Linked DNA regions of Drosophila melanogaster. The protein of the gene in region 1 interacts with the protein of each later gene in a pairwise test. Each region holds a gene or a part of one and is shown on either strand. Other genes may lie near its edges.

What was found.
Region 2: the proteins of Calx (region 1) and CG13581 interact in a two-hybrid assay, tested with the Drosophila melanogaster proteins (one large-scale study listed by BioGRID).

Annotation. Positions count from the first base shown.
Region 1 is NT_033777.3:20,971,733-20,989,391, reverse strand, and holds the start of Calx (Na/Ca-exchange protein), read right to left. Parts: upstream 11,210-17,659; 5' UTR 10,272-11,209; intron 3,414-10,271; exon of another isoform or gene 3,309-3,413; intron 3,246-3,308; exon of another isoform or gene 3,010-3,245; intron 2,889-3,009; exon of another isoform or gene 2,633-2,888; coding exon of another isoform or gene 2,127-2,632; intron 2,061-2,126; coding exon of another isoform or gene 1,763-2,060; exon of another isoform or gene 1,456-1,762; intron 27-1,455; exon of another isoform or gene 1-26. Other genes in the region: CG43446 (uncharacterized protein), read left to right, coding at 1,763-2,060, 2,127-2,632; Atpalpha (Na pump alpha subunit), read right to left, coding at 15,461-15,581, 15,654-15,886, 16,045-16,219. UniProt on the Drosophila melanogaster protein: Na(+)/Ca(2+) antiporter that couples the energy of a Na(+) electrochemical gradient to the movement of Ca(2+) against an electrochemical gradient across a membrane, which contributes to the regulation of cytoplasmic Ca(2+) levels.
Region 2 is NT_033778.4:24,500,049-24,515,754, forward strand, and holds CG13581 (uncharacterized protein), read left to right. Parts: upstream 1-6,821; 5' UTR 6,822-6,914; coding exon 6,915-7,541; 3' UTR 7,542-7,658; downstream 7,659-15,706. Other genes in the region: Ssl (suppressor of Stellate-like), read right to left, coding at 1-76, 134-144; Prosalpha4T2 (proteasome alpha4 subunit, Testis-specific 2), read right to left, coding at 1,137-1,563, 1,744-1,973, 2,038-2,139; Letm1 (leucine zipper and EF-hand containing transmembrane protein 1), read right to left, coding at 10,038-10,391, 10,449-10,745, 10,806-13,123, 14,488-14,560; Ir60b (ionotropic receptor 60b), read left to right, coding at 15,677-15,706.

The DNA.
Region 1 (17,659 bases):
TCGCAATCGCATTTGGCAGCCCAGGCACAACTAAATCCACAGCCAGAATCCCCATATTACCACCTGTCTGTCTGCCTCTCTGTTCTCCCTTCATCCGTCGGTATTTCTCTGTCATGTTGATGTCTCTGTGTCCCCCAGTTCATAATTATTTCGTGGGCACGGATTTGCTTTTGTTCTCTGCTCGGCTTTTTTTCGCTTTCCCCCATCCCACCTACATGCGTTGGGAAATCGGGCGAACTCAGACACGGAAAATATGGCAAAAAAAAAACAGGGGGTCGGGTCGGATTGGGTCGAAAAAAGCTATCGAACCAGCTGTAGCGTTGAAATCTGATTGATATTAACTAACGGGGAAATACGATTTCTTCAAAGAGCATAAAAGTGTATTTTTAATTATTGTGGAAATATATTTCCGCAGCTCTGCTGCTCAATGCCAAACCATTCGTAATGTACTATTTCCCCCAACTATAATAGGAATAGTCTCGCATTTCGTAATTACTCACAGAGATAAAAAAAAAAAGTCGATCTTATCTAATGCTCCAAATAGAGCAGTACATAAATTCTAGTAATAAATCTCATTTAATGCGGGACTATAGTAAATCCAAATTTAAACAGCCTTCAACAAACGAATTGCTGTTTAGTATTTAAATGCTGATATAACCTTATGCGTGTGATGATTCCCCTTTTTATTATTAACCACTCGCTTGCGTTTCGAGCTCTCTGTCATTTGATTTCCCTCCACCTTTCACTCTCTGCCCTATAATTTCGTATTGCTATTTGTTCATTGGCTTGTTGTTATTGTCTGTGGTATTCAGCTAAGTTTTACAAAATGCAGGCAATCATTTGGTAGCCATGCAAATGTTGTGCTAATTTTGTTGGCCGTGTGGCTCTTCATTTCAAAAACACTTTCCTCGCGAACAAAAGACGATGCGATGGTAGAGACCCCCAAACGCAATATGCCGGGCAGATATTTGAGGATTACAGCAAATCATGTTGATATACTATATGTACCATATGCTTAGGTGGGCACACATAATTCATTCGCATATTTTCCGTTTCCCAGCTAAGCGCCTTTTCGTGGGCATTTCATTTATTTTCCCACAAAGCGTCATGAATGTACGCATACGACCAAAATACTAGTACACCAGGTGATATTTTTCGGTACGAATTGAAATAATTAATATTTAGTATTCTATGCTTGTGATATGACATTTGTTTGATTTTCACAACACAATCTTATCGTAATCCCAATGTATATGCCTTTCGGTACTAGTTTAAACGAGTTACAGCTTTAATTCTCAAATCTTTTTTTTTCGTACTGGTAAAGTGTCATTCAACTTATATTGTTAAAGTAACGAGAACTTGGTTTAGCGATTAAGTTGGCAGTTTGGGGGTCTGTTTCCCCAATATTGACAAAAAAGAATAAGTCGTCATTCGTCACTTGAACCTCGAAACATATTCACGCAATTATCAGTGCTCCGGAAAGATTTTTTAGACGTTACCGTTATTTCTTATATTTATACAATAGATCGGTTTTAAATTTATATTCGAACGCATTTATTTGTTGTATTTTTTTCATACAAAGGCATACGATGTTGGTGTGATTATTGTTTGAATAAAAAGATTGTTGTACTAAAAAAAATTATTAAAGTTTTGGAGTGTCGTGCACAGTTATCTCTTCCACTTATTGTGGACCCAACCCGCCGACTGGTGATATTACTCATTTGTTTGCTTGCTTTGTACACTTGCCAACATAATTTTGGAAATGTTGATCTGCTGTATGGAAGGGTGCGAATTCAATAATTCGATTTCCAATGATGAGCATGTTAGGTGCTGGTTGTGTGACGAATATGCTCACGCGAAGTGCGCGGGCATAACTGATAGTGTAGTGGAAATGATTGAAGGAAGAACTGGACTCAAATGGACCTGTGAAACCTGCAGAGTTGTCAAATCTCAGATGGGAAGATTTATGAAGCAAACGCGTACGGAAATAACTGAACTCTTTAGGGAAGTTCGAGCCGTCTATGAAAAGTTGGCGAAGCTAGAATCGCATATTACGTCTCGTAAGATCCAGATCTTAACTATCCGATTATTTAATCGACTAATTTATCTTTTTTATTATTTAATAGTAGATCCTCAAAAACCGATTTACCCTGTGGACAGTGATTCAAGTTCTAATCCATTACACACTTTTGAAGATACTAATGATGACAAAGAAGTTGAAGATGCAGAGTCATCTATTGTTCAACACAATTCTACGAATATGCAAAAAGCGAAAATATGGCATCATAATGCGGCTCCCGTGGTACTACCTCTACATACCAATCCGGTTATTCTTAAAGCTGTACCTCCAATGAAAGCTGTGTTCGTATCCAGACTCGTAACCTCAACTACTGAAGATGCCCTCAAACACTACATAGTGGCCAAACTCTCTTATCCCAATCCCGATGACATCATCGTCAGAAAAATATATAATAAGCAAAGACGAAAAATTGCATCGTTTAAAGTGATGGCACCGGATCCTATATATTATACGATTTTAAATCCTGGATTTTGGCCTAAACATATCATTGTGCACGAGTTTGTCAACAAAAGCCTTCTTCAAACCAATGTAGAATTTATAAAATATTGTTAATATTTCCATATGAAATTTCAGTGAAATATTAAGAAAGTAACACATTTCTAGAATAGGAACTGTGCAAGCATTATCAGTAATTATTAATATAACACTGTTCTAATCACATTTAATCACTCATTTTTTTGCCAATATTTAGGGTATCAATTGCTCTGTAGATACAGAAACACTTATACAATTTGATATCACTCGAGTATAAGAATTCGGTTCACAGAAGTTTCACTTTTATGGTTTCACAATAAAATAGCTATAAACGAAATGTTTGATATTTGGAGTGCTAGTCGTTCGACCGCCACTGTGAATAGTCTTAGACATCTCATACTCGACTCGAATAATAAAAGTAAAATGCTATGGGATTTGTCGCCAGGGATACTCACTCCGGGATGGAATTGACTATATACTCTGCGCTGGCGGGGATAAGGATGATGGGGGAATCTTGAAGTGGGACTTGACCGGAAACTGAACGCTGCAGTCTCAAGAGTGGATGTTGTACTTGATCGCCCTGCCGTTTGTCTCAGGCGTGACAATGCATAGTTTCTCCCGCCCGTCGGGTGGGTTCGCTTCCTGGCAAGCAACTGAGCCGCCGGACTGCCGCTCAGCCAGGTGCGCAGTACTGGTGAGATAACGGGATGCGTGGGTGGCTGGGCGTCGAGTGATGGGCGTGGCACGCACTCACCTGGGGATCCAATTTCGGTCCTTTCGGTGCTTGACTCTTGGGTAAATCGTTAGCTCTGTTTCGAATTTGATTTTCGTGAAGTATAAATCAGAGCATTCGCGTGTCGTCTAATCAAATCGCCACTTTGGCAGCCGCCGATATCAACTGGCCCCGTTTCTATCCCCTGGCTAACATATAGATGTACATATATGTATGTGCATATACATGACGCACGGAGCGGCCTCAGATACGGAGACTCGATAGGGAGATATACAATGGAGGGTCCCGAGCCACTGGCGATAAGTCGGGGCAATTACGTTTGTGCGACCATACCTGATAGCTACTCTAGATCTTGATATTCGCGCTTTCTGCTTCGCGGTGTTATACGATCCGCTCATATTGAGTATTGCCTGATAGCTACTATTGCGTCATTGTCTTAATGATACAATCTATCTATATGCCATAGACACAAAATGTGCTCATGGCTTAGATAAGGTCTGTGGCCCAACCGAAAGTAACCGAATTAAATATTTAGCTAAAGCCAAAAATATCTACAACATGAAAACGCACAAGTCGCCTGACTCTTTCACCGAGAATTTAAGTCTTTTGGTGTAATCCCAAATCAGGCGAAATCTGCGAGTGAATGTTTTTGCACACTTTACCTAAGCCATAAATCGCTTTCCACAAGAAAGAGCCTTCTGAGTGTTGGTGATTTCATTGCCAGGCAGATAAGGTTTGCCATAGTTTGTGAGATATCCTTTGTGGGGGCTTTGTTTCACGGACTAGATTTGTCAGGCTTCCGTGACAAAGGTATTTAGATTCGTTATGCTAACAAGAGAACGTCTGATACGTTTCGGTGTTCAGTGCTCACTGTTCACGGTTAGATATTCGAGTCCTGGGACGTAAAATGACATGTTTAATACGGGACCGAGTGGGAACAGTTGGCGTTGTCAGCATATTTTAGACCGTAAACCCCCCGGTTATTGGCGACATTTTGATATTGTCCTTGTTGCTGTAGCTGCGACGTTATAACAACAAGTTTGATGACGGTCGTTATGCGAATCGTCGATTTGAAATGCCTTCTTGTCACAGAACTTGTGTGTTGAGTGTGGTGCGGTGTGGTGTGTGTGTGTGGGTGTGAGTGTGAGGGTCCTTATCTGCTGTAGATGTGTGAGTGAGTGGATGTGCAGATGTGTATCATTGTGTGTTGACAGTTCAACGGACACGCCCCGCCGCCCTTCATTTTCACGCCTGTTGTGTTGTTGTCAGAGCGTAAACTGTTTATTATTTAACAATATCCTTTTTTTATATCTCTTTCTGTGAGGATGTGCGCGGCTGTGTGAGTTTCGAGCATTCTTATTTATTTATAACTGTGTTTCACACTTCTGCAAAGGTACGCTCACAAATCCGAGAATAAATCTCCGGATTAAGATTTAAATAGTCGCACGTTTAGCGAATTTATCATGTTTGACTTTTTAAGCACCGCTTAATGGCACATTTAACTATATCATTTATCATTTAAAATGGGTCTGCATTAAAAGTTTTTGGTTACTTGACAATTAAACTAATTTATTTAATGGCTAACTAATATTGCAGAAGAATTGATAAAAATGTAGTATAATCAGCATTCTAGTTCCACTTCTTTGGATTTCGTTTAATAATACTTTTATAAGTGTATATCCTTTGATCATTCCCTGAGTGTCTGAACGAAAGTGCTTGGGCGTGAGTGGGCGTGTGCTTGCCACTTGACTGCGGAACGGACGCAACAAGGCGCCAATTCTCGAATCAGCGGAAACAGGCTTTTAGGCTGCGTGCCTGAAAGTAGGCTACACATTCCAATCTCGGAGCTCACTTTACGTGTGTGTGGGAGCTGCACTAGTGTGCGGCGGATAGATGCCTGCTGGTCTGTCAATTATGCACTTCCATATCTGCCTTTAAGGACTCACATCACTGGTCAATGGCAATCAGGCAGCGCAATCAAGGCCAGCATCGCATATCAAAGCATCAGCATCGCGGGCTGGCATTGACATTGATTTGATTTCAAATCACATCAACCTTAAATGTCAGCATGCCACAGAGGATGTGGATGCCATTTGCCATTCATATTGCGCTATGTACTGCCACCAACGTTTATGTGCATTAGAAATACACGCAGAAAAGGTCATTAGAGGATTTCCTCCTCTCTACCACTGGAGAAAACAACTCGAGGACGTTGGTACACACATTAGTCACGTCTTGCTCTGAGTAATAGTATTTTCTTATAGGGCTTCCATGAGTCCGGAACAACCATGAAGTCATCTGGCTGAAAGTAAATGCCAGTTGTATTTCACAATAGCGAGTCTCAGACAAAAACTCGATCATAAATTATAATTAACAATGCTCTAAAAACAAGCCCCATTAAGTTGGAAGATATATGGGATGCACAAGTAAACTGTTTGCACTACTTTCCATAGCTTCTATAGTTTTCTTTACTGCTTCTCAAAATTAGAATAATTCTCCGTGCGATAAGCTCGCTTTAAATGAATAATCGCGGTATTCGGTGGCAGTGTCAAATCGAGTCAAGTCGAGTTTTCGGGCAGGATATTATCACTTGCTGGCCATGATTTACAGACTGAAGCGAAAGCAGATGGAGTTGGGAAGTGGCAAATGGGGAAAGCAGCTGCGTGCCGTATAAATATATGCGTGTGTATGTCGCAGCGCTCCTATTGATTTTTTAGCTCCACCCCAAACCAGTTTTCACTCGAATGCGGAGGAATCGAGGCCCTGACATGCCAAAGTTGGTTTAGATAGCGTTGTTAAAGTTGTTCGCCATTGCCATATCAAGTGGGTGGGTGGTTAGCTCAAACTATTTCCTACCCAACATTGGCTTCCGCAGGGGTTGTCCCAACCTCAATCTCCCTCCTTTCGGAAAAACTTTAACTGAAACAAGAATGCCAGTTGTGTTCGCCAAAGTGTTGCGACTGGACTCGACAATTTGCCGTGTGTCAGCAGCAGGTTCGTCAGATCCGCGATGATGATGATACCTGATGGATGGTTTACCAGTTGACCAGATGTTACCCCGGGCGGGAAAAAAGTAGCAAGCAGTCGGTGCATCAATCAATCTTCCAGTGCTAGTAAATGCTGACGCAGATAGCTTGATTAAGTCGTGGCAATCAGCAAAGCAAACATTTTGCCAAGGGATTTTAGTTCTTCGTTTATTTTGTTTACCCCAATGATTCAATGCTGATTTGCTGGACGGACCGTTGATCCTCATAGCCGATAAGCACTGTACAGCATTGCCATTGTCATTTAATTTGTGTGCTTGCTTGGGCATGGAAAAGGCAACGATGGTGCAGGCTGCCTTCAAATCGCTGGGAAAAGTCACATTATCCCATTCCCATAATCATCATCATCACCGACGCCGTTATCATCGTAGTAATCATGTGGCAAGCTTTCCGGCCGGAGCAACAGTTTCGGCCCACAAACAAATTGTTATGCTCCGCCTTGGAAATCCATTAGGGAGCCGACAAACAGAGCCAAAATGGCGCCCCCTAGCTAACTACGTACATGCCATACTGAGCAAAATCAATTTGGTAAGCTCAATTTAACTTAAATAGTTCATACTTCCAGAAATGCCGGGATAGTTAAGAACACCGGGTTTAAACCGCATTTTAAAATGGGTTTAAAATATTTAGTTCGTTGACTTTTGGCCGGAGGTCTTATAATCTATAAGCAGACAAGAAATTTAAATTTATGTTCTTTAAACAAAAATTCACAAAATAAATTTTCCTAGTGTGTCTGTGTAGTTTTGGCCCAATTCTAGTAAAGTGAGAGGGCACAACGATGGAATGGGTGAGACGCCAAGATAGGGTCCTCAGTGAATGGAGAAAATTGAAATGGAAATTAAGTTCGAACGAGGGCAGATGAAGATTCCTCTGGCGTGTGTGTTATCCGACATGTATCAGTGTGGAGAGAAGCCCCCCACACTTTTAAATTATTTACCTTAACGCACCTGATTATGCCCTTTGCTGGCTGGGCCCTCGATGAATATTTCAAACACGCGTCACATCGACCTAATTGAAACCAGAGTGCGAGCTCCAGTTAATGTGACAAGGATTAAGTGCTACCCAATGCGAAGAGTTAATTGAAAGCGTTTCAATTTCATTTCTTCGCCATTTATTTCGACAACCGAATCCACACACACACACACACATGTAGATATTTCTGTGTCTGTTGAGCGGAAAATTATCATTTCCTTGGCCTTTGTTCGCTCAGTCAATGGAACTCGACCATTTGAATGGGCGGAGAGAAGTGAAATGAAAGGTTTTCACTTTGGTTTCCGTGCTGACACAATGCCGACATTTCGATGTGTACGTGCTGTGAGTGTGTTTGTTAGCTTGCTGTATGTCTTCTGTATGTGTGTGTCTGACTCAGTGTGTGTGAACTTAGGTGCGTGACAACGGTAATTTAGATATCCCAATATCCTGTTCTTTTCGCGCGTCTTTTGTTTCGCCACAAAAGCTGACTTAAGGCTCGCCTGTCAGCGCCTTGTCCGCCATTTTTGTGATTCTGTCTCCATTTTCGCGTCCCTTTTTCAGATGTTTTTCCTTTATTTATGGCCCTCGCCTTTTCCTCTTTCCTTTTGATTTTTGTCATCTTTATGGAATTTTTATCTCTTTTAATTTATACATATTCTCCGGCTCCGCCATCATCGCCATCGCAATTTAATTGCCGTTCCCGAGAAACTGAGCAATCGAGTCCTTTGCGTTTCCTTTTTTCCACCAAACTCTGCTTGCATTTTATGCTCGACTTGGCTGGCTTAGAAGTAAGCCCTATTTCAGCATTTCTCTACGTTCTTTATGCCTCGCTGGCCATAATCAAATTGCCTGCAGATCTGCCCATCTGGACGGCTTACTGGGCGTATGCGCAATTTGATGCCCACATACACGGTAAATCTAACAGGAAAATATGTAAAGCGAAGCTGGGTGAATTTTTTTTTATTTATGCCTCGTAGCTGGAGATTTGTTACTGTCAGGACGTATGTATGATTAACTCTGCTGCAACGGAATCCTGCATAAACTCTACACTCGAAAGTATGCTTTTTGGGGCTCTATTTTTTCCGGAAGCACGGCAGCTGCTAAAGCTGCTGATTCTGCGCCATTGTGCGAAATGTTGGCTTCCAGTTGCCGTGGCCACAGCAACTGTAACTTTATTTCACCATTGTTGTTCAATTGGGTGAGGGGCTGGAACTTTCTGCTGGTTTCATGAATCAAACATGACCGAATCTTGTTACATATTTGCAGTTTTCTTCGTCGAGTTTCTTTTGTGTACACATGTGCGCGGTTTATTTTTTTGTTAGTTAGAAAAGTTGGTCGCCCCACACACCGAAAATGGAAAAAAGTAGAATTTTTCGCCACTGTTTGCGGCTGCTACGTATGCAAGGCCTAAGCTTTTGAGTGCCTGCCACTTTTCTCTAAGCCTTTAAAGCGCTGAATTTTCATCTGAGAGCTGTACTGCGGTTTGGCTGTGTGGTCTGTTGCTTTTAATTGACGGAGCCATAAATTAAATGAATTTTCCAAAATCTTGTTTCATCTGGATTTTCTGCATTTCGCTGAATATGCTGCATACTCAATTTTAAATTACCCGAGGTATTCCTCTTATCAGAATCAGAAAATCGAGCATTTTGAGTGCTTCGAGTCATGCTGATGTTGGGTACTTGATTAAGCTAGCTAGTTAATGGCTGCCATTTAGTTTGATTAGATATAAAGCCCCAAACTGAGTTCCATTGTAACTTGTGTCCAATTGACAAATACTTATGGGACGACCTTCCTTCATTCATTGGTCAGTGAAAAGGAGCCCCTTAACCGAGTGAATGAATAAATGGCTATTTATTTGTACAAAGGGAAACAAAGTGAACTCTAAACTGAAATGGTAAGCAAATGTCAGGCAAGTGAAGCGAATGAAAGCTTGAATGATATTGACAAAGGCAAATGCTACCACCCATCGTCCTATGAATGAAAAAAGAACTCAAGGGGCTGGCCGACTTGGGCAGGAGTCGCGGGTTTTTTGCTTTTCAATTGTTTACTAGTCTCCGTGTTGATTGTTTTCTTTGGTTCCTTTCTATGGATACCCTATCAGATGGCATGATACTTTAGGCACTGTCTACAGTATAAGCGAAAAATTTCATCTAAGCGGGACAGTAAAATATACTTCATATAAATAATCATTTGTGGTTTAATGCTCTGAAATCTGAAATCATAAGCCTAACGTTTTCTGGCGAAGTTCTTTACTTTTTCTTGGGAGTCTTAATATACTTTATATGTTCATATGGGAGACGTGCCTTTTGGAATGTTAACATTATATCCCTTACTGACATTCGTTTCTTACAGCGTGTAAGAATCAAAGCTAGGATGCCATACAGCTTTATTTATAGTTAGTTATATCCTCTACAGTAAATACATTTCCGGATCACAAGCCGAGTCGATCATGATCAAGAAAATATGTAACGCCCAGAATTTGAAAAATGATCCAAAAAAAGTCCATTGCAGTTATGGTATGTGATAGTCGAGAAAGCCCAAAAACCAGCTGTCCACAAGGGAACTTAAAACTCGAACTTATGCCGATGTCAACTGGATTCCCCATTTGCTTTTCTTTTCTTCTGCGGTGCTGCTCGTCTCTTGATACTCACAAAAGACTCAATTAGGCGTTAGACAAAGACGGTGGACATAGCCATATGCTGCTTGGCCCAGAAGTTGTCGCTAATTCGCAGACAAAGGGCGAACGAGGGGCCAGTGGGCTTAATCGATAGAAAAACGAAAATGGGAAAACAAACTGACAATTGTCACGGACTGCCCCCGTCCGTTGTCAAGGTAAGACCGCCCGCACTATTCATACTCACATACACGGGGCGTATGCGTAATGCCTTAGCCATACCGCACGGCACTTCACATGTGGCGTATGATTAAGTCGTGCTTGGGTAGAATGCGCCTAAAACGAATACATTACCGGCAATCGGAGATGGAGGCGCCAGTGTGGCGAGCTGCAGGATCCGCTGCCGATGCTGCTGACACAATTTTCGCCGCTGCAGAGCTGCAACTGCAGAATGGCCGCACACAGATGCACCAGATATAGATACAGATACACAGATACAGATGCACGAAGCTGACGCCGAATTTGCGAATTTCGAGCTTGACACGAACACCCGGAGGCTGTTGAACCGCACCGCTCTGAACTCTTTTGGCTAGTTTTGTAGGTTTATGCCGTTTTCGTGCACATCCTTTCCTTTTCTTGCAGCTTCCTTTACAGTTGCATTTTTTGCAGCGGCTGCTGCAGTCCGCGTTGCCAAAAGTGAAAAGAGGCGGCCGGCACGGCGGTCGGTGGTCAATGGTCAATGGTCAGAAAACAGGTTCAAAAGTCGGCGACCGCAGGCGCAGGTCCTGTGTGTGTGTGTTACGAACGGGTGTGTGTGTTTGTACCGCACAACTTTCCCAAAAGTATGCAAAGATATTTAGCCTAGTTTCGACTCTCCGACAGCATCGTTGTTGATTTTTTGCTGCACTTTCTTGGCATTTTCTTTCAATTCATTTTTGCTCTCAAATTAATTTTGAAAATTTATTTATGGAAGATCATTTCACTAGCTTTAAACACTGTTTTTGTTTTTATTGTTGACTGAAGCACAACAAACACATCAACAAATACCTACATATATTTCTGTATATATGTGTATCTGTGTATGTTTCGCTGTGTAGTAAAAATAGTAAAACGCTCGGCACTTAAAATAGGAGAAGCGCAGCGAAAAACCGTTTGCCGCTGTTCTCTTCTATTGTTGTTGTTATTGTTTTGGTTGCTTCTTTCGTTGTCGTTGTTGTTGTATTTACCGCTGCTGCGTGTGGAAATCACGGAGAAAACGTTACACGCTCAAACGCCGGATAATGAAAGACTAACCTGCGAGCCAGTAACCGACTGCCACATTGGCCGACTGCCTCTTTAAAAATGCCGATTGTCGCGACACGAAGGGCACCCGAAATGCACACGAAGAGTGAGAGTGGCGAGTGCGAGGGCGGTGAAAGCGGGACAGATAAGGAAGAAAGTGCACAGGATAAGGAACAGAGTGGCAGTGGAACACTGGCCAGGCGATAACAACTGCGCCGCTCTCTCTCGCTGTCGCTCTCCGATGTTCCCCATCTTCCTCTCGTTGCAGTGGCGCATTTCGCAGGGGGTGTAAAGGTTTGGCGGGGAGGGTGGTGTAGAGGCATTGCTGGTTAGTATAGCCCACACCCACACCCCCTCCTCTACCACCCGCTGTCTTAGACAAGCAAGCGCATAAGTTTTTGACGCCCCTGTTAAGTCGGTTGGAAACAAGTTGCTGTACTCTATGCTTGGAAAATAGTCTATTAACAATAAGCACCGTTAGGGAAAGTGATTACTAGCAGATCGGGGTGCAAAAAAATATAAATTTTCAACACCCAATAAAGGTTCACGTGGCCAAATCTTTTATTTCTGAAAATTGTATTGTTTTATAATTTCTTAAGCTTAAAATATGATATTATTCACGCGTTGAAGTACAGTATTGATCTCAACATATACATTTTATTTAAATATATATATTTATTTATATTCAAAACCAAATTTGAGAAGTACATCGCCAATTCCAACTCAAATTGGCTAGAAAGCTTTTGATCGCATTGAAGTCAGCTTTTAAAAATAACTTAATTGGTATGTGTTTTACCGGATAAATGGCTTTCCCCTGTATAATTTTGATTTAGTTGATTGCGCCTTTTTACTTGGCTCTCTATGCAGCATCACGCCTACGAACTTTTTCAAGTCACTTATGCATTTTATTTTAATACCTATACATATTTTAATACCGCGCCATAAAAACTTCACTTAAAAAGTTAAATAATAATATTTTGTAGTTTTTTTTTTCTAATTATAAATCAGTTTTCCTAATTTAAAGTAATCTTCTTCTCTTCTATTATTATAATTCATGTATTAAATCAAAGCTAAAGCAGCAAATTAAGGCAATCGAATTAAGCAATGAATTAACATTTTAGTACTCCCCATCTACGGTTGTGTAATATGCCTCTCTAAATAATCGTAGGGTATCACCGGGGCTTTAAAGGTGGAATTCCTTACGAATGTTCTTTTGACTATGGCGACTGCGTTAGAATTTGGGGACCTGGATGGCTCGGCGGTTCGGCTGCTGACGGGCCCAGAACTGCGAACCGAATGGCGAGCTGTGCGAGGCGTCGTAAAAATAAATAAGCAAAACGGAAATTAATAAGACCCAAATGTTGCCGCTGTCGCAACGACCTCCCCATGTTGCCCCTGAGAGACCTGCCGCGACAATAGCGTTAGCCTTATGGCCATATAAACGCAGCAATGGAAACAGCAGCAGCGAAAGCAGCAAAAGTAGCGAAAGAGAAGCAAACGCTGCACGCCATTGCTGTAAGTACAGTACAGTACAGGAACATGTGTGCCAGTGTGTGCGCTCACAACCTTTTGCTACCTTGTATTTGGCGTCCATTTTTTTTCGTCCGCTTTCTGTTTGTTTTCGTTACGGATCCCAACTCATTCGGCAGGGGTGAACACGGGGCGTATGAGCAATATATTTATGTTTATAGCCTCGTTTCCAGTTGGTGTGTAGGCATAAAACTGTCGCGATTTTTATTTCGGATGTGTATGATTATTTGGCACGACAACTCAATTCAATGAATGAATAATAGCAATCATGAAATCATAGGACATTTACGAAATAAAATGACAGATCACAAATCTAAGCACTTTTTACAAATTACGTTTCTTTGCATTTGCAATCAACTTAAGTCTCATTTTACGTTTTTTTTTTAAACCCCACTTCCACATGTTTTTGCAAATAAAAGATTTTGATTTGTTTTTTAAGTTTTATTTATGTAGTTTTTTATTTTAATCATTGTTTAAATCTACAAATACATTTACAGCGGAGGGCGAAAGAACAAAAAATTAAAAATGTTTACTCATTGTTTTGTTGTTACATGCAAGTTTTTACTTCTGCGTGTTGTTGACAAATTTGTTGTGGTTTTTGTTTTGTTTCAAGTTCTTGCTTTGACCATCGAACGTTTATATAATTCTGCATTTGTTTATAAATATTTGTAGTCCATATTATGAGTTATTTATATTTTGTTTTTGTCCTCGTTTGGTTTTTGCTTTGCTTCGTTTTAGTTTAGTATCATATCTCTTTCACATCAGCATCCATCGATCAATATTATTAATTACTCAATATAATTTGTTAACAACTAATAATAATAATTTTGTTTAGTTTTCATTTTCTTTCATAACTAACATGCCATAATTATCGTTATCCCCAATGCTAATGATCATCTTCACTAAGTTAGAAAACAAGACAGTTGGCTAAAAGAAAACAGCAGCGAATTAAACTCGAATGTCTGGGCGTATCTCTCTGCGTGGGTGTGATCTTATCGGTCTAGCCGAGCTTATTGAACATCCTATAATCGCTATCTGATCCATTTTTCACAATTCACAACTTGAAATTCTCAATTAGCCAGCCCGAGCCGCTTTTTCAGACCCACTCATTTGATAACGACAATGCCAAGCTTTTTAATTCGTTGAACTTCAATGTAATGACCAACAATTTGACCGCTCAACCGTTCATGTTGTGTTTGTTCTTTGTATTTGTTTTTCTTTTTGTTTTTGTTTTGGGGCGTGTGTGGGCAGGGAAAGCGATAAAAAACAATCAAAGAAAAGGTAAACAGAATACTGCCTTGGGCTTGCCCCATTTTGGGGCGCTGTGCCGTGTAAAACTTACAAACATTTATTTTGTGGGCGCTTTTTCCTTTTGTTTTCTTTTGTTTCGTATTGAATTTGGTTTTTAGTTTTATTTGGTTTTATCTTTTCCTTCTGGGCCTAGGTATCGGTAATGGTATCTGTATCTGAATCTCGATATCGACATCGGGGGACTTAATCCCACCGAATCTCGGCATCGGTTCTTTTGGGCTTAAATGCACACAAAGCATAATATTGCATGTCAATTGGTTTAAGGGGGTTTATTATTAAACATTTAGTTGGTTTTTTCATTAGATTTTAACAAATTCTAGACCGGCAGGTCTCCAAACATTGCTCGGAGACCTTTATCCGGAACTCGGCGTAGTGCCAAGTGCAGATCGGTCGATTTCGTTATGGTTTCAATTTTGGTTTTTGGTGTATTGTTGTATAGCTCCATTTATATAATCAAATTTTTTCCATATAATATATGTGTGTATATATATAAACAATTATATTCGTCGTGTTCACATTTCTTGTGGTTTTTCTTCTGTTTATATATATATTTCGTTCTTCTGCGCTAAGCTGCGTTTACACACACAAGTTTCAAGTTTTGCAAATTAATTTCTGTTCTTTTGTTTTGGTTGTTGTTGTTGTGGTTTTTATTGGGCTTTACTTTTCACGGCTTACTTGGTAACTACGCTAGGGGTTTTCATTGTTTTCTTTCCTCATTTTACTTTTTATTTACTTCGTTTTATAATTTCTCTAAACTTCTTATATACTTTGTCTCGTCATGCGTTGTGTATCGGTGTGTGTGTGTGTGTATTTGTGAGTGTGTTTGTGAGTGCGTGTGTGTGTGTTAGCTTTCTGGGATCTTGTTATTGTGGCGATAAAAATCGCCTCATCCAGTTCTCGTTACGTTAATAATTTTACTAAAAACATGTTCTTGTTACTGTTTTGCTTAGTTACTGGTTGATTTTGTTGTTGTTCTTGTCTGGATGTGATTGGTGTTTCATCGAAATTGTTGTTCGTTTTTGTTGTTTGTTTTATTTTCATTTATACTTTATTTAAATCTTATTTTTAGCTTTAATTTATAATTTAAATTTACTTAACGTTTAAAATAATTATCGCTTGCATTTTTGTTTATCCTCGTTTACTTTAAATAATTAAATTAAAAAAATAAAATATATTGTAATATGTTCTTGCTGTAGCTTGTTGTAGACGTAGCTGTTGCTGTTGTTGTTGCCGTTGCTGCTGCTGTTGCTATTACTGTGGTTGTGTTGCTTTTGTGGGTTTTGTGGTTCATAAACATTTCTATTTGTTGCTCTCCATGGTTTGTAGGTGTTGTTTGCGGGTGTTCCTGGTTGCTCTTGTTGTGGTGTGCATTCGTGTGTGGGCATGTGGCTGTGTGTGTGGGAGTGTAGCAGTGTGGGTGTTTAATAGTAGGTCTCCTGCTCCAACCAGCCTCCGGGGTTGCGGCGCAAGTAGAAACGACGGGTCTCGTCATAGATGAAGATGGCCAGCGCAAATGGAATAGCCGGGAACCACCAGACGAGTCTATAGTATTCGTAAGGAAGGTTATTTACAAGGTTAATTAATGATATATTCTAATTTTAAAGGACCACTTACTTCAGGGGGTACATGCGCAGACCCTTCTCCATGCCCGGGCAGTATGAGAGGAACGCGGCCAGCACGGTTTCAAAGACGAGGCCAAAGTTCAAAGCCCAGTTGCGCATGCCCTGCTGGAAGATCGAGTTACGACGCGTCTTGCAGATGATCAGATCGGCCCATTGCACAACCACGATCGAGATGAAGAAGGCCGTGTGGCAGGTATACTCCAAGGTCTTGCGGTCGCGGTAGGTCTATGGGAGTATAGGATAAATTAATTAGAATGGCTCCAATTGTGGTTAGTTTTGGTCACTAGTATCTAACTCATCCTTGGCTGTTTACATTATCGTTAAAGTACGAATTCAGAGTTAATATGAAGTGTGTTTAAGATCGAATTGGAGTTTGGACTTACCCATTCTTGACCGTAGGAATCAGTTAGATCGTTAACAGCCTTTGAGTCCCACATCTTACGAATGCCAAACAGTTTCTTGGGCAAGAAGCCGTTCTCAGCCATGATGACGAAGTACACAAAGAAGCCGGCGGCGGCCTGGATCATGCCGATCTGTCCGTAGGCCATCGAAATCAACCTGGGTTAGTTAAATGGGCGGGACCAAGTCGGAAGTTGGGAGAAAGAAGCAGATCTCGTTAGGTAACTCTCAAAGGCAGGCAAGACTTTTTCTTTTGTGTGGGTTTTGGTTTTGTTTTTCAGGACGCAAGACACTTCTCGTTACAGTTTGGCTAGCGGTAAAGTTTCGGGCATCGGACTGAAGAAAACAGGAACATGCGCGGCTTGGCTAGGATTTTTGTTTATCGTAAGATAGGTCGTTCGGGGTACTCAAGAAATGATCAACGAATGCTTGAAATAAAGCCATAAACGTTGGCACACAGAAAAATAGAACGGAAGAATAACACTCAAAGCAAACACAAAACACTTAAGGAGGAAATCAAACAAAAACCCTGCCCAAGGACCGCAAATGTCCGTTCAGTCCTCGATCCGAGTAGCAAATCGTACTCGGGGTTAGTCAATTAGATTGGTGTTAGTGCCACTTTACCTTGAAGCTCTTTTATGGATTGTTTAAGCAAATGGATGTTTATCGTTTAGATTTAGTGGTATTAAGACATTACTCTATGTAGCGTGGAAAGTGTCTGGGCAAATCTCGTTTTAATTTCAAGAGCGCGTTAAAGCAAATCGTACAGTCTACACTCGATAGAAAGCGTGATGGCGCAGAATTGTTTGAATTTCATTGTATTGTTTGGCTTTCATACATTTCGCATTGGATGTGGATGTGAAAAGCAAAGTTATTGTTAGTGCTAGTTGAACATGCGGTCTAAATACAGGACATACATATCGGAACATGCAGGACATTTAAGCGTGCCACTATTACTACGACAGGCGAGTGCAGCTCTACATCCTTTCGTTTACTTACGTTCAAGGAAGTTTCGATCGAAATCACATAAAACATAAAACAATAACTCAATCATAAACTTACACGTTAACACAAACTTAAGAGTAATAAATACGTAAAAGTATTACACACAAGGAACTCATAACAAATCATTATCCGTTGCCATTGTTGTGAGATTCTCAAGTATTACCTATGTTTATCAGGACACCCTCCCTCACATTCAGACTTACCACGACTTGGAAACTTGGAACCAGATTTCGGAACGAGTCTAGGTATGTATATATTTGGTATATAACAATCATATGGTGTATCTAGAACACAACTGAAGCGATTTTCGTTTTGTAGTTGGCTCGAACAAACTCATCTACAAGTAACGTACTAACTGATCTAAGAGTAACGGCAGAAGCTTCGTTTTTTGTGGGTTTTGTGTTTTTATGATTGTTGGGTTCAGTCTTTTGCTTGTCTAAGGGCTTGTGGAAATAGATCCACCTTATATTCGATTGTTTGTTGTATGGGTCGTGTACTTTGTTTTTGTTTATTGTTTATGCAGGTGAGCGTTTGAGCGAGCGAGCGTTTTTCTTTGAACTAACTTCGCCAAATTTTTTAGAAGCAGCTGTTGGG
Region 2 (15,706 bases), on another chromosome or scaffold:
CCGGCAGGAGAATTCGTGGCCCTTGATTCCCAGGAACCAATCGATCCAACTGCCATCTGGTATCTCGATGCTCCTGCTAAAAGATTTTGGTGTAATTTGCTATGATTTTTATAGGAAAAACCTAGTTACTTACGGACACGACATGCTCACTCGAATAAAATATAATGAAAAAGTACAGTGCAAAATGACGAGACCTACTATTTCATAATGACAGACAGCTCAGTGACAACAATTCAAATGTCAGGGCTGCGACAGGGCAGCAGTGTTCCAAACCCTTTATCGCCCGAGGACTCGATGCCCTTCACAAAGACCTCAAACTCGTCAAATCGGCAAGGCTAGCCAGAAGCCTGGCTTTCTTGGAAGCCTAGGCCGCAAAACACGTCTGTAATGACCAGAACGTAGTCCTGATGCTCCAGTTGCTCAAGGGGAAACGAAGGGTGCGGTGCTCCACTATTGACATCATTGATGCTGCCCTGATGAACCCTTCAGGCAGGTCATACCCTTATAACAGCATACACCTTAACCCATGAAACCCACTTTCGGTTGAAGCACTTGATTTCAGGAAATGAGTGGGACTCAACTTTGAACGGCCAATATGACAGCCTGGGGAGCCCAGTGTAGGTGGAGCAGGAAATCGCAAATGGAACTCACGGCGAAAAAATCGACAGTACTTCTGCAATGGGAAAAGACCTGCTTTAATGTAAAGATGCCTTCAGAAAACAATGTTCTTTACATCAGGATCAAGGAGCATTCCTTGGCATCTAGGAATTTATTAACCCAATCAAGAGAAACCATCTCGATTGACAAACATTTTCTGCATGTGTGCGCGCACTTTCTTATTTTTCCTCTACAAATTCAATTCGCATTTTCACTTAAAACTTTTTAACTTGGTTGGCCTGAAAGGAGCGTACGCGTCTACGCCGGAGAGGGATATAAAGTAAACAAATACGCCCTGGAGACAAATTAAGTGATTTGCCCGCTTTACACATTTTTCCTGCTGATTACTTTTCTCCAACTCCCCGGCCGAAATTGAATTGCCCAGAAAAAGAGAGCACGACCGGTTATCAACTTTTGATTGGTCATGAAAATGGCCAGGGGCCATGGCGAACAGAATGGATCAGGGTGGCCGGCCAAAACTAGGGAGCACGGGGCCGCCGACTGGCCTCGGCCTCGTCTTCAATTTCCCTGCGAACGGTTCGCTCCAGATCGGCCAGGACCTGGTGATCAATCATACGCAGTGGCTGGCGGTACTTGAGCACAGCCACCTCCATTTGGGTGTGGTTGAGCGAGGACACGCTGACCAGGGTGCGGACTATGTGCTTGATGGCCGCTGCCTCGTCGGCGATGGTCAGAATCTCGTCCGCGTGCTTCTCCATGTAATCGCGGACCGGCTGGCTTGAGCGGCCGGTGGTGTTGGCCCTCCACTCGTAGAAGATGCCCGAGGGATCCGTTTGGAACAGGTGCGGAGTGCCATCCTCGTCGAAGCCCCCAACCAGACAGGACAATCCAAATGGACGCCTCCCATTGCTCTGCGTGTAGTTCTGTTTCAGCTGGGCTATGTATCTGCATGGGAAGCGGAAAGGACATAAAAGGTAAATCCAAATTTGCCTAGGGGGATGCACTGAGAGAACAGTTCTTAACTTTTTCGAAAGGGCAGGAAAAAGTATGCATGAGTATTTTGTGGTTTGCAACTCAGCTCATTCACTGCATACTTTTCCCTGTGTAGGCAGTGCTCTTCCTCACCGGGTTATGTACTCCACGGTCGTGGGCTTCTCGAAATTCAGACGATGGCTCTGGGCCTCCATTTGGGCGCGGCTTACCAGGATCCGTGCGTCCGCGGTGAGACCCGAAAAAGTCATCACCACGTGGTCGTCGAGCATGCAAATCTTGCGCACCATGCGCTCCTCCTGCAAGTCGCCCACGGAGCGCTTCTCCACGCCGATTACAATGGCGTTGTTGGTGCGCAGACCCATCTTTGGTTAGTATTTGGAGGATTAACTAATAGGCAAGTGCGGGTGGCCTCCAGGTAGGACTTACCACAGTGGAACCCCTTCGGACGGCCTCCTGGGCGTACTCCACCTGCAGCAGGTGACCGTCGGGTGAGTAAATGGTCACCGCGCGATCGTATCGCTGAGCCATTGAAGTGGGGCTACTTATTTGAAATACTATGGAGTGTACTTTGTGTATAAGATCGAAATTTTAGTATCTGTGCTACTTCTAAACGCCTGCTAGGTGCGTACTGGAAATCCACTTTTAATCAATTTTATGAAAACATAATTACCCCTTTTGAAGACATATTGTTTTAATTGCATTTTTTCTTCAATTCGTTTATCATAAAATGTACTTTTTACTAGCTTTTATTTATATTTTATGTTTTCTATTAGTGTCCTCTCAAACTGTTATGCAATTAAATCATTTTTTTAATAATGAGGTAATCCGCTACAAAGGCAAATCTACATAATCGAATCCATAGGCGAATTAACAATTATCGTGTTAATCGGATTATCGTTGTCACAACAAATTGGGGCAATTACATTAAAACTGTTTCAGCCGCATTTTGCGAATATTTCAATTTGTCGGCCTACCTTATCCCCCAGTACGATTTTCCAGCAAGACCCTACTTGAGGAGGTCCTGTGTCCTTGGCATCTGCTCCCCGCCTGAAATGCTGACAACAAAATCGCAAAGTGCAACAAAAGCGCAAATCTCTGGCGAATGTAATCGTAATCGAAACAGCTTCATTTTGCTAATGTGCCTGGCCAACCGGTGAAGGACTCCGCCGGAGAGTCGTCCTTTTGCGACTATACGGAGCGCGGAGCACGGAGTCCTGCGTCCTGATGCGGTGCTTAGTATGCCGGCAGCGCGCAGGTTGGCATAAATTTATATTTAACATTTTATGACAGCCGTGCGCCCGCGGAGGAGGAGTGGGGACAAAAGAGGTCCTTTAGGTGTAGCGCATACTCACCAGGATTAGGCACGTTCCAGCCGAATATAGCCAATTCCCAAAAACAAACGTTGCCAAAAGTGCCGCTGCCGAATAAATAAATTAGGCAGAACTGCAAACAAACGACCAGCAAATAGAATCACAAAAATGCAATTATTTTACCAATTTACACACGTTGTCGCCCATGCAAAGGTTCGCAGTTCGGAAATATGTTTTATGCATTGATGGCCACGCGTTTTGTTTAAAATTTTATTACCCTCGCCGCGGGCCAAGCGCTAAATGAATTAATAAGGCCATTTATCAAAATTGACAATCAAAATGCATTAGCCGGCGCCAAGCGCGAAAGCATTCACAATCCGTGTTTTCCAAAGTTACGAGTTAACGATTCAAGCGCGGAAAACTTCAGGACCCATTTGAATACAGAACACGAATTCGTCACTTGAATAGTTAAATATTTTCGAGATTTATGGTTATAGAGGTATATATATGTAGGTATATCGCTTGGCCACCATTCTGTCTTTCAACAATGAAAACAGGAATATCTCTTTGTTTTTACGATAGAGCGAACTAATTTCATTTTTTTTTTTTTCAATAACTAAATACACACTTATAATGTGCAAAGTCCCCCATTAACAGTTAAGCTCTTGTTCAACTTGTTAATTAAATAAGAATTTTCGATGCTAAGACCATGGCTTCATTAGCACTCAGGAATGTTTTGGCCCCAGGCAATGTGCGTAAATTAAGTATACGCCGTGTTTTCGGAGCGTGCCCCTGCCGCTTGGCACTTGATTAAGCACTTTTGCCCCATAAATAGTGAGCATTGCCAATCGAAGGGAGAATTGCCCCTGAGACAATCGAGTAGTGGAGTGGGTTTCCTTTTCGGGGGCTGGGATGGGATTGAGTCGAGCCATAAGCGGAAAGGCGGAAAAGCGGGAAAGCAGACGAGACAGCCACATAAAAGCAGGCAACAACATGTGCTAAAAACAGCAAGAAGTTTGGCGGGCAAAGCCGAGGGAACTTGCCACGATTTGTTTGCTCCCAGCTTAATTTGTAGCGTCAAATGGTGTTGATTGTTGTTTTTCTTGCCTCTAACCCAGCAGCAGCCAGGACTCAGCACCGAAACCCCAAAACCCACTTAAACCCCCGTCGCCGTCCAAACTAAAGACCCAATAAAAGTTAAGGACGCTGTTGCGGATAAACAAGGTTTGGAGCACAGTTTCAAGTGCTTTCATTGTTCTCGAGCTCCCACCACTCCGATGTGTGGAAATTAATGACGAGCGATTTGAACACGACGGGATTGGCATTGGGATAGGGATTGGGATTGGGAGTGGAACTGGGAATGGGAATGCGATCGAGATGGAATGGGTCGGTGGTAATGTGTTTACATGGTGAAAATGTTGGCAGACCTCGAACGCCTGTGGCATGTGGCATGCGAAAAAAGCATATTTCAGCAAGTTGACAATTAATCATTGTGTAAATATACAAAATATATGATTTTCATTACTGTTCCAGACGAATTCCTTCTACAGTTTATTTCCGTCTTTATTATTTTCCTATCTTATCCATTTAATGGTGAAATATTGATATAAAATTAGGTAGAGACAAAAATTCCATTTATTAAATATCCCTCTGTTAAGGAGCATTTTTATTAGAAAAGGTACTTCAATGGCTTTAAACTGGCTTTGGGAGCTGCCGAGGTCTTTGTATATGTTTCTGCCTCCCCTTCAATCTCGGCCATTTAATCAGCTTGTATTTGTATCCATCGCCCCTCCCCCACAGACGTCGAACGTTTGTATTTGTTTGGTTGGCCAGGACAAGCTGACGATGGCAAAATGCAAATGACCTTTGACCATTGCCGGCAGACTGCTTCCGAGTCGGAAAACTAGAGGCTCCTGGTTCCCACGGCTGCGTCTGTACATATCTCTATATTACGTATATGTAGCGTTGCGTGTGTCTCAACTAAGTAAACACAGCGCGGGGTGTTTTGAGCGGGGTGCTCAGGCATTCACCTGAGCCCTTTTTAATAAACCTAGCAATGCACACGCCATTGTTGACATAGTCCTTCCAGGGAATCATGCGCGACCTGCTGCTGCTGCTCATCCCCTGCTGCTTCTGCTTATGGAAATGTAGATGTTGTGAGTGCCTGGCCCCAAAGTGCCATTTTGCGTCAACGAACTTTGGCCTGGTGCACGGCATCCGCCACTCAGGTCTCGGATATCAGGTCGTTTGCTCCAGCCTGCGATAATATCCTCATCTTCTCGGCAGCCAAAGAAGATTCCGCCGAAATTTTAAAGATTCGCCAAATTATAAGGCAACCAAATCTTAATTGAGTGGTCTTCGGTAAGTTTTATCCTATGGTTTCCGGTTATCCTCCGGATGGAGCTCAAAGTGCAGAGCATTCCGAAGAGCTCATATTACTTGAGGGGCAATCGCTTATCCACAGCGCTCCGTTTAATTACAAACGAGATGTTGCCGTGCTGCGAATTACGTGGGTTGGTTTAGGACTGGCAATAATGCAATTTAGAAGTTTAAGCCCGCCCGCCGCCAATTGCAATTCCATTTCCAAGTTGCGAGTTTCGAGTTCCGAGTTCCTCCCACGCAACCGCGAATAAAGTGCAACCAATTGCAGCAAAGTGCAACTGCAGCTCCATCAGTCAGCGGAGCGGCCCCCGATTTCCCGCCTTTCCGCATTTGCCGACTTACTGAAAGCCAAATGGCGACAAATGCCGCGCGAATTAAGGAGGGCAGGGAAAGGTATTGATGGGAAATCGAGAAAAATGCAGCACGCGAAGGAAAATGGAAATGGAAGAGAGTCAAGTGGAGTGGAGTGGGTTTCCACTAATGGTCAGCGAGCTGGAGGAAGGAGCGAGTGCTTCAGCTGTCGCGCACTTTCGTCTTATTAAAGTTGCAAGTCGTTCAATTTTTCAGTTCCGAGGGGATTGCACTGACACCACGCCCATCTATCATATCGCATTGGGCGGAATCGATCTGCGATACTGTATCAAACGTCACATAGAACTCGCAATCGCAGCGAAAGTATCGAGTTTCGGTGATATATTGCGATGCCCACAGATAGCAAAGCTGGGACCGGAAACAAAACCCAACGTGCGGCTAATTTATGCAGTCTTCCTGGATTCCTGGATTCCTGGAGGCAAGTTCAGGTGGCAAGGAGGTGCACAAACAAAGCCAAGTCCCGAAAAACTACCAAAACACCTTTAACGAACCCTTCGAATGAGCAGGTGGGAGTGACTCGGAAATAAACAAGCCAATTGGAACGGCTCCAAATCAATGCTCCACCACATATATCCTGGGCGTCGCAGGAGGGAGGGATGGGAATGGAAGGGAGTGGAAGGGAACGACCTGTCGATTTCTTTGGGCTTATGGAGTTTCCTGCTGCAACTGCACCACGACACACGACCCCATGCATATAAACATTTCACAGTGTGGCGACATATCTGAGATATTTTTATGGCCACCGTGTGGGACACGCTTCCTTTTGGGCCGGGCTAAAAATACACGGAAGCGCGCGAGAGATGTGTCTGTGGAGCGCTCTTATCTGTGTATAATCCACCTTATATGTTCTCACCACCACCACACAAATTGAAAATAAACACAAATTCGGGTTACGAGGGAACCGAAAATCCAGTTGCAGATTACCATTTATTGGGAATTAAAGCTGGCATTTATAGAACGTGCTTCAGCACAAACTCACGCTGGCCATTCGGAAATATTAGTTACATTTGATACGGTACTTTTTTCTGCGGTTCAGCAGATAAAATAAACTTAAAATTCGCCATGAAAACATTTAAGAGGTTTCCGACCACAAAAGTAAAAGGCCGAAAGTTGTTGCCCTGTCAGCCGGTCTATCCCTTTTCCATCAAAGTCAAAAAATGTGTCTTTGGTGTACAACACAAGCTTATATCCCACAATAAACACAATAAACAATTAGCGTCCAAATTTTAAAGTAAAGTTATGCAGCGACTAGCTTCAGTTAATTCAAGAAATATAAGGCCATCTATTTCCGCGTTGCACACGGAGAAGCCCCACAATGTGGCCAAGACTTCTCCAGCTTCTTCTAATCTATCAGATCATACAATTCCCGAGAAGACAGCGCAGAAATCGGAATCGAAACCGAAAACGAAATCAACTCAAAATCAAAGTGCAGGACTAGCGAGTGCTAGGTCACAACTGGTGATAAAGTCCAGTGTGGGTGCTACTCCCAGGCCAGGATCAACGCCAGGCTCTGGAGCCACTAGGAACACTGCCTCCAGTAGGACCCAGCACTTTTGCATTCCCGTGCGGAGCTGTTATACTGTGACCAGCCGCACTCGCCGCTCCTCCGAGCACGCGGCCTTCCTGTACCATCTGTCCCAGTTGGAGCAGACCGGATTTGGCAAGAGCGCGGTGGATCCCATGAAGGCCGTGCCGGCGGCTGAGCTGCAACTGCTGCAGAGTGGCCAGAGGACCACCTACCTGGAGCGGCGGTACGAACGCAGCCCAGACGACAAGTACAACTATCCGGAGGCCACCAGCTGGCGATATGGGTGGTTCCACCGCGAGTCAGATCTCCTGCAGAAGCGCGTGCCCAGGCGAGATTAGAACAGCATTTCGTCCTGTCCTGCCCAATTTCAATGAAATGCTTCTATCCACAGAGGCCTCTAAAATATTCGGATTAGAATGCGTACCTCTTGCTTTTCAATATAAATAAAAAAAAATTTACAATAAAGTTTTTAGTTATATCCCAACTGAATATTCGGCGTTCCTGCAAAAACTAATAAAACGTAAAAGGGAAGGGCCAGCCAGTTTAGATCAGAATAATTCAGTTGGGCTTGATTTGGCCCAAGGGCGATATTAAAACTTTATTAAATGAAAGAATGTCCAAACCTGGCAAGGCGAAATAACTCTATCAAATATGGTTGCATGCAATCCATCCGGCAAACGCATCTGGTGTGCGCCTCGACGAGCTCATCCCGGGCTATGTGTGGAGCAGATGCCAAGAGCCAAGAGCAAAGAGCTCCACTGACAGCGCCACTTTCCGACAGGCCGACCTTTGTTGTTTTGGCGCTTTCGAAAGTGCAGCAGTTTTCAAGTTGGACGGAAAATGAAATCCAGCAAGGACAATTGCATTAGTCTGCCGCTCGCATGACGTACAACGGGGCGTATGCTTGTTGTCTGACATTCAAAGTGGGCCAAAGTTGGGCAACTTCTCGCAGCGGAACTCGTTGCGGCTGCCTCTCTTTTGATTGACTCATGAAAGTCGGCAACTTTTTAATTGTTTTGTAACATTTCTTCAAATAATTTTGCAATTTTTCCGCCAACCCGCCACTGGAATGAGCATTCTCCGAGCGTTGGCTCTAAAACTTACTAACTTCGTTCCATGGCGCAATGCTTTAAGTTCACCCGGTTCGCTTGTCCTGTGTCCTCTGTCCTCTGTCGCTGATTGTCTGCACTTCAGACCATTCATGGCAGATTTCGAGTTTCATTGTTGCATCCGAAGCACTTTGAGCTGCGCAAACTTTCGCCGACCAAGACGCTCTGCCAACTTTCCCGTCCTGCCCATCCAGCATATTCCGACCAGCGACCGACCCCTCCGGATCACCGGCTCCTCGGATCCTCTGGTCTGTCTGCGGTTCCTGGTTGTTGGGCTGTTGGGTTGTTCGGTGGTTGGATGGTTGGATGGTCGGGCTTGCCTGATTGCAAACAACAGTTCCCTCCCAGCGGAACTGAAGTTTATTATTATTTGGCTTGTTTCGCGTTTTGTCGGTTCTATTTACCTTTAAATAAATTTCCGCTGTATTCTTTTCCAGCGCTTTGCGTCTATTTGTTTTCGATTTCGCTGCTGGTCGAAAGTTTCGCATGTTTACGCACAAACTGGGATTGATTAATGCTGGGGCATACACAAGTTACTAATCCTACGCAGGGCCATATTTAATTTATTTGGCCGAAAAGAGGCCAACATAGCTGGGAGCCGAATGCTTTACGAATACCACACTTTCTTGGCCCTCGCTGAATATGATGGGAATTTATGGGTCAGCGGGCAGGCAAAGATGGAATTTTGGAACATTTTGTGGTAATTTTTATTACTTCAATAGCCCAGGATATGATGCTGAACATGCAGTGCCCCCCCACCCCCCCCCCCCCACCCGCACCCCATCGGACAAAACTAACTTGGCCGTAAAAGTTTGGGTTCTGCGGTTGTCGATTCCGAATCACTGCTGGCCAGTTGGCAAGTCCGGGTTTTTGGGTGCGGTTGTGGAACACCATCCCGCCCTCGAGGAAATAAACAATGCAAAAATATAATTCTGAGCAATCAATGCGGTTCGTAAAAGCAATTGTTCGGTCGGAGTCAGTCATTTAAAGTCCCGAATGGCCATTCAGCAGTAGTTTCTAGGAAATTGGTGATATAGCCGTTTAGAACTTGTGCATCGGCATTCAAGGCGAGTTCACAGATAATAGGGCACTTTCCGACTCGTTTTCCCGTAATTACAGTTCGTCTTTTGTTTTTATACTAACTTTTATTGCGAAACACTTTTACAAATTCAGTTTGCTAAGTCAAGCACACACATTATTGTTTAGATCTATCACGTGGTTTTAATTATTCTCCAATGTCTCGCCACCTTTCGGTATTACCTGAAAACCGGTCGGGCGAATCAACTTGCTTGATAGATATACGTACGTATTAATAGATGAATAAGTCGTAAATTAACATTTCGCCTAATGATCACAATCGCTTCGCAAATTTGGGCCAAATAAAAAGGAGCTACAAACAACTTGCTTCGAATGGGTTTTATGTAAAACTAGGTCGTTGGAAATCAAGATATATGTGTAAAGTGTACATTCTTATGTATTTCTAGTAGTTTCTGATTTGTGCCTTACTTAAAGAAGATACCGTACTACAGCCACGCGTTAAGTATAGCAAACTCTCCTCATCCTGCTACGTTTATGTTAAATGGTAACAGTTAATTCATTGCATAGTCGGAACAATATGGGACACACGAGCAACACCGCCACCGCCCCTACTCCAACACATCACTTCGGCTTAGGTTCACGCTTAAGAGTTGTCTCAGCATCTCCCTTCTTGGACCGTCTGACTGGTCAGAGCAGTTTCTTGGCCGTTATCGTCGTGGACAGGGTCGACGCAGTGGCCGTTGCTTTTTTTGACGTCGGTGGTTGCGATGGTGTTTGTATCGTGGGGGGCAGACCAATGTCTGTGGAGGGCAGGATCTTTTCCATTTGACGCTCGGCCGCCTCTCGGAGCGCTGATTCCGTCGTTGATCCGGTGGCAATACCGCTACTGCCACTGCTGGGGCCTCCACCTGACAGTCCGGCTGGACCGGACCCTGTAGAAGCCTTTGTCGGGGATTTGGGGTCTGACTTTGGGTCCTTCGCTAAATCGTCCAGGTCCTTTGCGTTGTCCTTCAATGTTTTGGCCGTATCCTTGAATGCGGGCTAAATAAACTGATCTGTTAGAACGCTGACCACTGTATGTCAAAACCAAAGACTTACCTCTGCTTTTAGCTCCTTCGCTTTATCGGGCACAGTTTCCTCCTTATCACGCATCTCGTTGGCAATATCCTGAATCTCCTTGGCGGAATCGTGAATATCATTAACAAGCTTGGACAAGTCCTTATCCGCTTTGTCCACCTCAGACTTCAGTTTCTCAGCCTCTTTCATGCTCTTAGCAATGGCCTTCTCAATCTTCTGCTCTGCCTGCAGTACTTGCTCCTTGTCAAGCAGACTGATGAGTTCCTCAATGGCCTTGTCGCTCAGCTTGATGTTATCACGACCAATGGATTCCAACACCTGTAAGGAACACCAAACCAATTGAGTGTATGTTCAGCCTAAGGAACATGATTTTATTACCTTACGAATATCGTTGACGGTCACCACGCCATCCTTGTCGGCATCAAATTTCTCCAGTACAGCTTCGATGTGCTTAAGTCGTGCCTCATCGCTAGTTTCCTTCAACACCTTGATGTTATTCATTAAATCGTCGATGTGCACGATCTCCTCGTGTCGTCGCCGGGACGCCAACTTGGAAAGTAGCTCGGTAAACTCCTCCAGCTGCTTCTTGTCGATATTCGTGGCCTCGCGGTCGATGCTCTGCACCGCCTTGGTGATCTCGTTCACCGAAATCACACCGTCTTTGTCCGCGTCGAGTTTGACCAGCAGATCCCCGACAACCTTGAATCGCTCTTCATCGGATGCCTCCTTCATTCGCCGGATGGTGGCGACCAGCTCGTCAATGTGCACCATTTGCTGTGGTTCCACAGTGGGACTGGACGCCGCGTAATCAGAGGATTCCGCCTGCTTGATTTGATGCTGCCTGGCCTCTAGGTCGTTAAGCACATTATCGAGTTGGGAAATCATCTTGTTGACCCGATTGTAGAGCAACTTGGCCGCCCGGCTTTCGCGCACAGGCTCCTTGACTACCTGTCGCACCTCGCGTAGCTCCTCCACATCCTCCTTATAGTCGGCCAATTCCTCCTTGAGTTCCTTGATTGTTTCCTTTTCCACCACGAGCTGTTTATCAGATGAGAGTGTCTTTAGGGCCTCAGACAGCAGCTGTACATCGGTAGAGGAAATGCCCTTGTCCGTCTCGGACACCGAGGACTGTTCCTTGTGATCCAGAAGATCCTGGGAACCCGACAACTTCTCAGCAAATACATAAGGAGCGGGAATCTCCTCCTTGATGGCCGATCGTTTTGCGATGGTCTCTTCCCGCTCTTCCTCGCGCTCTTCGCGAATCTTGCGCTCCTCCTCCTTGATGATTTCGATCTTCGTCTTGTTGTCCACCTTGCCCTCACTCTCCCCGATAGCGTGCCGTGTGTGGGCACCCACTGCATCCGGTAGCACACGAATCGTCTCCTTGAGCTTATCGGTGGTGATGCTGTCGTCGGAAATAAGCATGGTTCTTGACAGGAGCAGCAGCGTAGGCGGTACCTGTTCGTTCAGGGAGAGATCTATCCACTCCTTAAGCTGAAAACGAAGACGCTCCTCCGTTAGGCCATATGCCCGCATTCCACGTGCCTTGCACGCCTGTTGCAGCTCTAGAAGGTCCAGGGAGTCGACTCCTTCGCGGGCAATAACGCGGTCATCGGTGGCCAAAGATCTCAGCTTCAGACGCAGCTGGAACCGCAGCAGCGTGGTGGTGCCAATTGTGTTCAGTTCAAGGACGCGACAAAGAGCCGCCAATTGCTCCCGGGACAGTGAATCTAAGGTGATCTCATCGTCGAATCGCTTGGCGAATTTGATGATTTCATCGTTGCTCACTGGTTCAGTGGGATTCCGGATTTTAGTGAAAAAGGCCTCGAACTGCTTGGCCTCTTCGCTGCTGTGTTCCTTGTGCTGGACGGGCATCTGATCTAGGGTCTGCTGCAAGAACTTGGCCACCTCCAGGCGAACGCTAAGTGACTGCCGGAGCTTCTCCTGTCGATCGGTCGAAGTCTGGAACGTGGAGGGCAGCATGCCGGGGAAGAATTTTATGAACAACGGCAGCAGCAGCTCCATGAAGGGCACGATGATGAACACCGAAAAGGGGATCAGACGGAACAAGTCAGAGGTGGTCCGCTGAAGCTGCTTGTTCTCGCGCCGCGTGAGCGTCTTGCCGTTGAGCACTCGCCAAAGGAGCTTAGAGCAAATTGCCACATCGATGAAGAGCAGCCTAAAGCCGTGGTAATAGTGCACCAGCTCATCCCAAATCCGTGTGCGGAGTGGTTTCTTTGGCTTGGCCACCGACTTGTCTGCGGTCTTGGCCAAAGACGTCGTTGAGGCAGTCGCCGACGTGGAGCCCGCGGTCGCACTAGCGTTTTGACCCTTCTCCGAGGAGGCCGTGGCGGTAGCGGCACTGCTGGCACGAACTGCCGCGGCCTGTCCATTGGCCACCTCCTTCATGATCTCCTCCACCTTCTCCTTCTGCTGGTTTTTCAGCTTCTTGACTGTTGCGTCGATCTTTGAGCTGGACGTCTCCAGCAAAGTCCGGCTCGTATGCAGATGCCTAAATCCATAGCCGGAGTAGTCGTATCCATAGTTGGCATGTGGCTGAAACCTTCGGTAAGTGCCAAGCGATCTGCTTAGCTCCAGCACCGAGGTCGAAGCAGATCTTCGCGGTAGTTCATCTTCTTTGGCGGGTTCATCTGTGACGTTCACCGAACTGCATGCGCAACAGTTCGATTTAAGAACTGCAAAAAAAATATTGAAAAATATGTTAAGTAAGAAAAATAATACGAAGTTAGTAAGATAAGTATAGCTATATTTAAAAACTGGAAAGTTCAAGTGATTTCTGTATATCCGATTAAATTACAACAAAGAAATAAAACAATGTAATATTCTCACAAAGGAATCTTTCAGGTCAATAACCTGATTCCATACGATTTCCCGAACAGCCTTTCATGTTTTAATAAAAATAAGAGCAGATGAAGGGCCAAAGGAAAATAAGGAAACAAAGAACGAAAGAAATAACACCTAATGAGTTATTAATCATAGCTACAAAAAATGGGAAAAGTTTGTGGTTGATAAGCGCACTGCCGCTTGACTATAGATTTTGTTGGGATTTTCAGTGAGCTCGATAGTTGATAATAGAAAGGCAAAGATTGCCGACGACAGACCAGATAAATTAGCACCTGGAGTGGAGCTTACATAAATCCCAGAGCGAGAAAACGAAAATTCGCACAACCGGTGAGAATTCTCAACCTCTATAAATACATGCTTAGCAAACATTCAGACGGCCGCGTCGACTGCATTTGTTTACAGCGCACTTTTCCTTTTGTCTTCTCTTTTTTGATTTTCCGATTCTTGGCAAACGCTCAAGGTAAATGATTTTGCAATTGAGTCGAAGGAGGGGAAACAAGAAGAGGAACTGCTGTGGAGAAGGTGCGGGTAATTCCGACCTATTTCAAGTCTCTATGATTGTTTCAATTGTGGGTAAACAATACTATCTGCTCTGGACTATGACTGTACTTTCCCGCAGGTGCCTCTTTGTCTGGTCTTGCTGGTACCTGGCTGGTCTTTGGGCCTCTTCCCTGGCAGGTGATTTCCTACGAAATCTGAATCTGTCGCATTATAAGTCACCAGTAGATACAAAAATTGTCCAAGGTCTATAAGAATAATCCCATCTTTTATAACCTAAAAGAACCATTCGGCGTGTGGTGCAAGATGTTGAAGATAAAGAAATTATATTATCGAAATTAAGCCATATGTATAGGCTGAAAGATAAGATTGCCAGTTGTCGCGATCCAAAGTCAACAAATCGTTGAAAACAATACGAATAATTAAATTAGCAGCTAAGTTTTCGAAGCACTGATACGTCAGTAGAGCTCCGAAACCGGTAAGAACTCTAGGAATGAATGATAAATTTGGTGTTTACTCGAAAACAAATAAATTCGAAGCCCCCCACTACATAACTTCCAGCGCACGTCGCAGTTTCCAGCCAGTCAGCTGTTCTTTCCAGCGAAAGTGCAGTCATAACAAAATGCCCGCTAACACACACGCGAATGGAAAGTTTTCACGCGATTTCGCCTTCGCTTCCCAGTTTTGGCCAACTTACAGCGCTTGTAGACATTCTGGGCCAAGTGACTCGTCCGCAGATTGCGTCCCTTGTGACGCAGCAGGGCGTTCATGGCGGTGGCGGGTGGTGGTGCAGGGGGGCGTGGCTAGGCTCGGCCTCCAAACCGAATCCAAAGTATTTTCAAATGGAATTTTGAATTTCCGACAAACTGTCTGTGGATTGTGTATCTTTGGGTTCTCTGTCGCTCGACTTCTGATTGCTTTTGCCTTATTTCGCCTTTGTTTTTCTCTGATTTCGCTTGTAACCGTCCTCGCTGTGCTTCTCTGTTCCACTTTCGTTGGCGCAAGTAACGGGTTCCTTCCCACGATTCTCGCCTAATGGAAAGTAAATAGAAGGTGGGAATTCTGGTTTAGCCTACTGCCGATTTGGTTAAAAGTCAATACATTGATTAGATCCCAAATTGGTTTTCGGCTGCAAAAACACACACAGGCATACACACACACACACACGCACGCACGCACTGAGCTACGTCATCGACGCAATATCGCGCGATCTTGATTTGTTTTTGTTTTTGCCTCGCACACTCCTTCACACCAAATTACACAACACAGCAACAAATTTCGAAGTATCGCATTTCGTGCGAGTGACAACCGGTTAAATCACGCCTATAATTTAGCCGCCGATTACATCGAGCCCTCAGTGCAGCTTATATGTAATCCATTTGTCATTCCTACCGTGCTAGTAAATAATAAAATCTAAACTAAACCGTCTGTTTTTTCACTTTTCTCACGTTTGACATCAGAGAGACCGTTCTGCGAGTGCTAAAAAATACCAAATGTTAATTGCCATAGTTAGGGGGACTCCTGCGCTTACAGACACATGTAATGTAACTAACGATGTAAAATAGTTGTGTAAAATGTAGAGCCATGTATTTGAAGAAATGCATGAAATGAAGAATTAAATCGAAGCATCTTCAATAGCAACATATATTGCAACTTTAACCTTTTTTTTATCTAGCTTAGCATTTTATAGCTTGTTCTTAACAAAAATAGACCACTTTCGATTAACACACAGCTCCAATTAAATCCTATGACATACGATTAACCATTGTTCCAAAAACAATGCGTACTTTTCCGGCAGTTATACGACTTAACTTCTTAATTACCCAAAAACCCTGAGAACTCGTGCAGTCTACTTGATTCCGCACTCCAGAGCAGACAACTCGAAAATGAGGCGGAGTTTGTATCTGATCATAGCC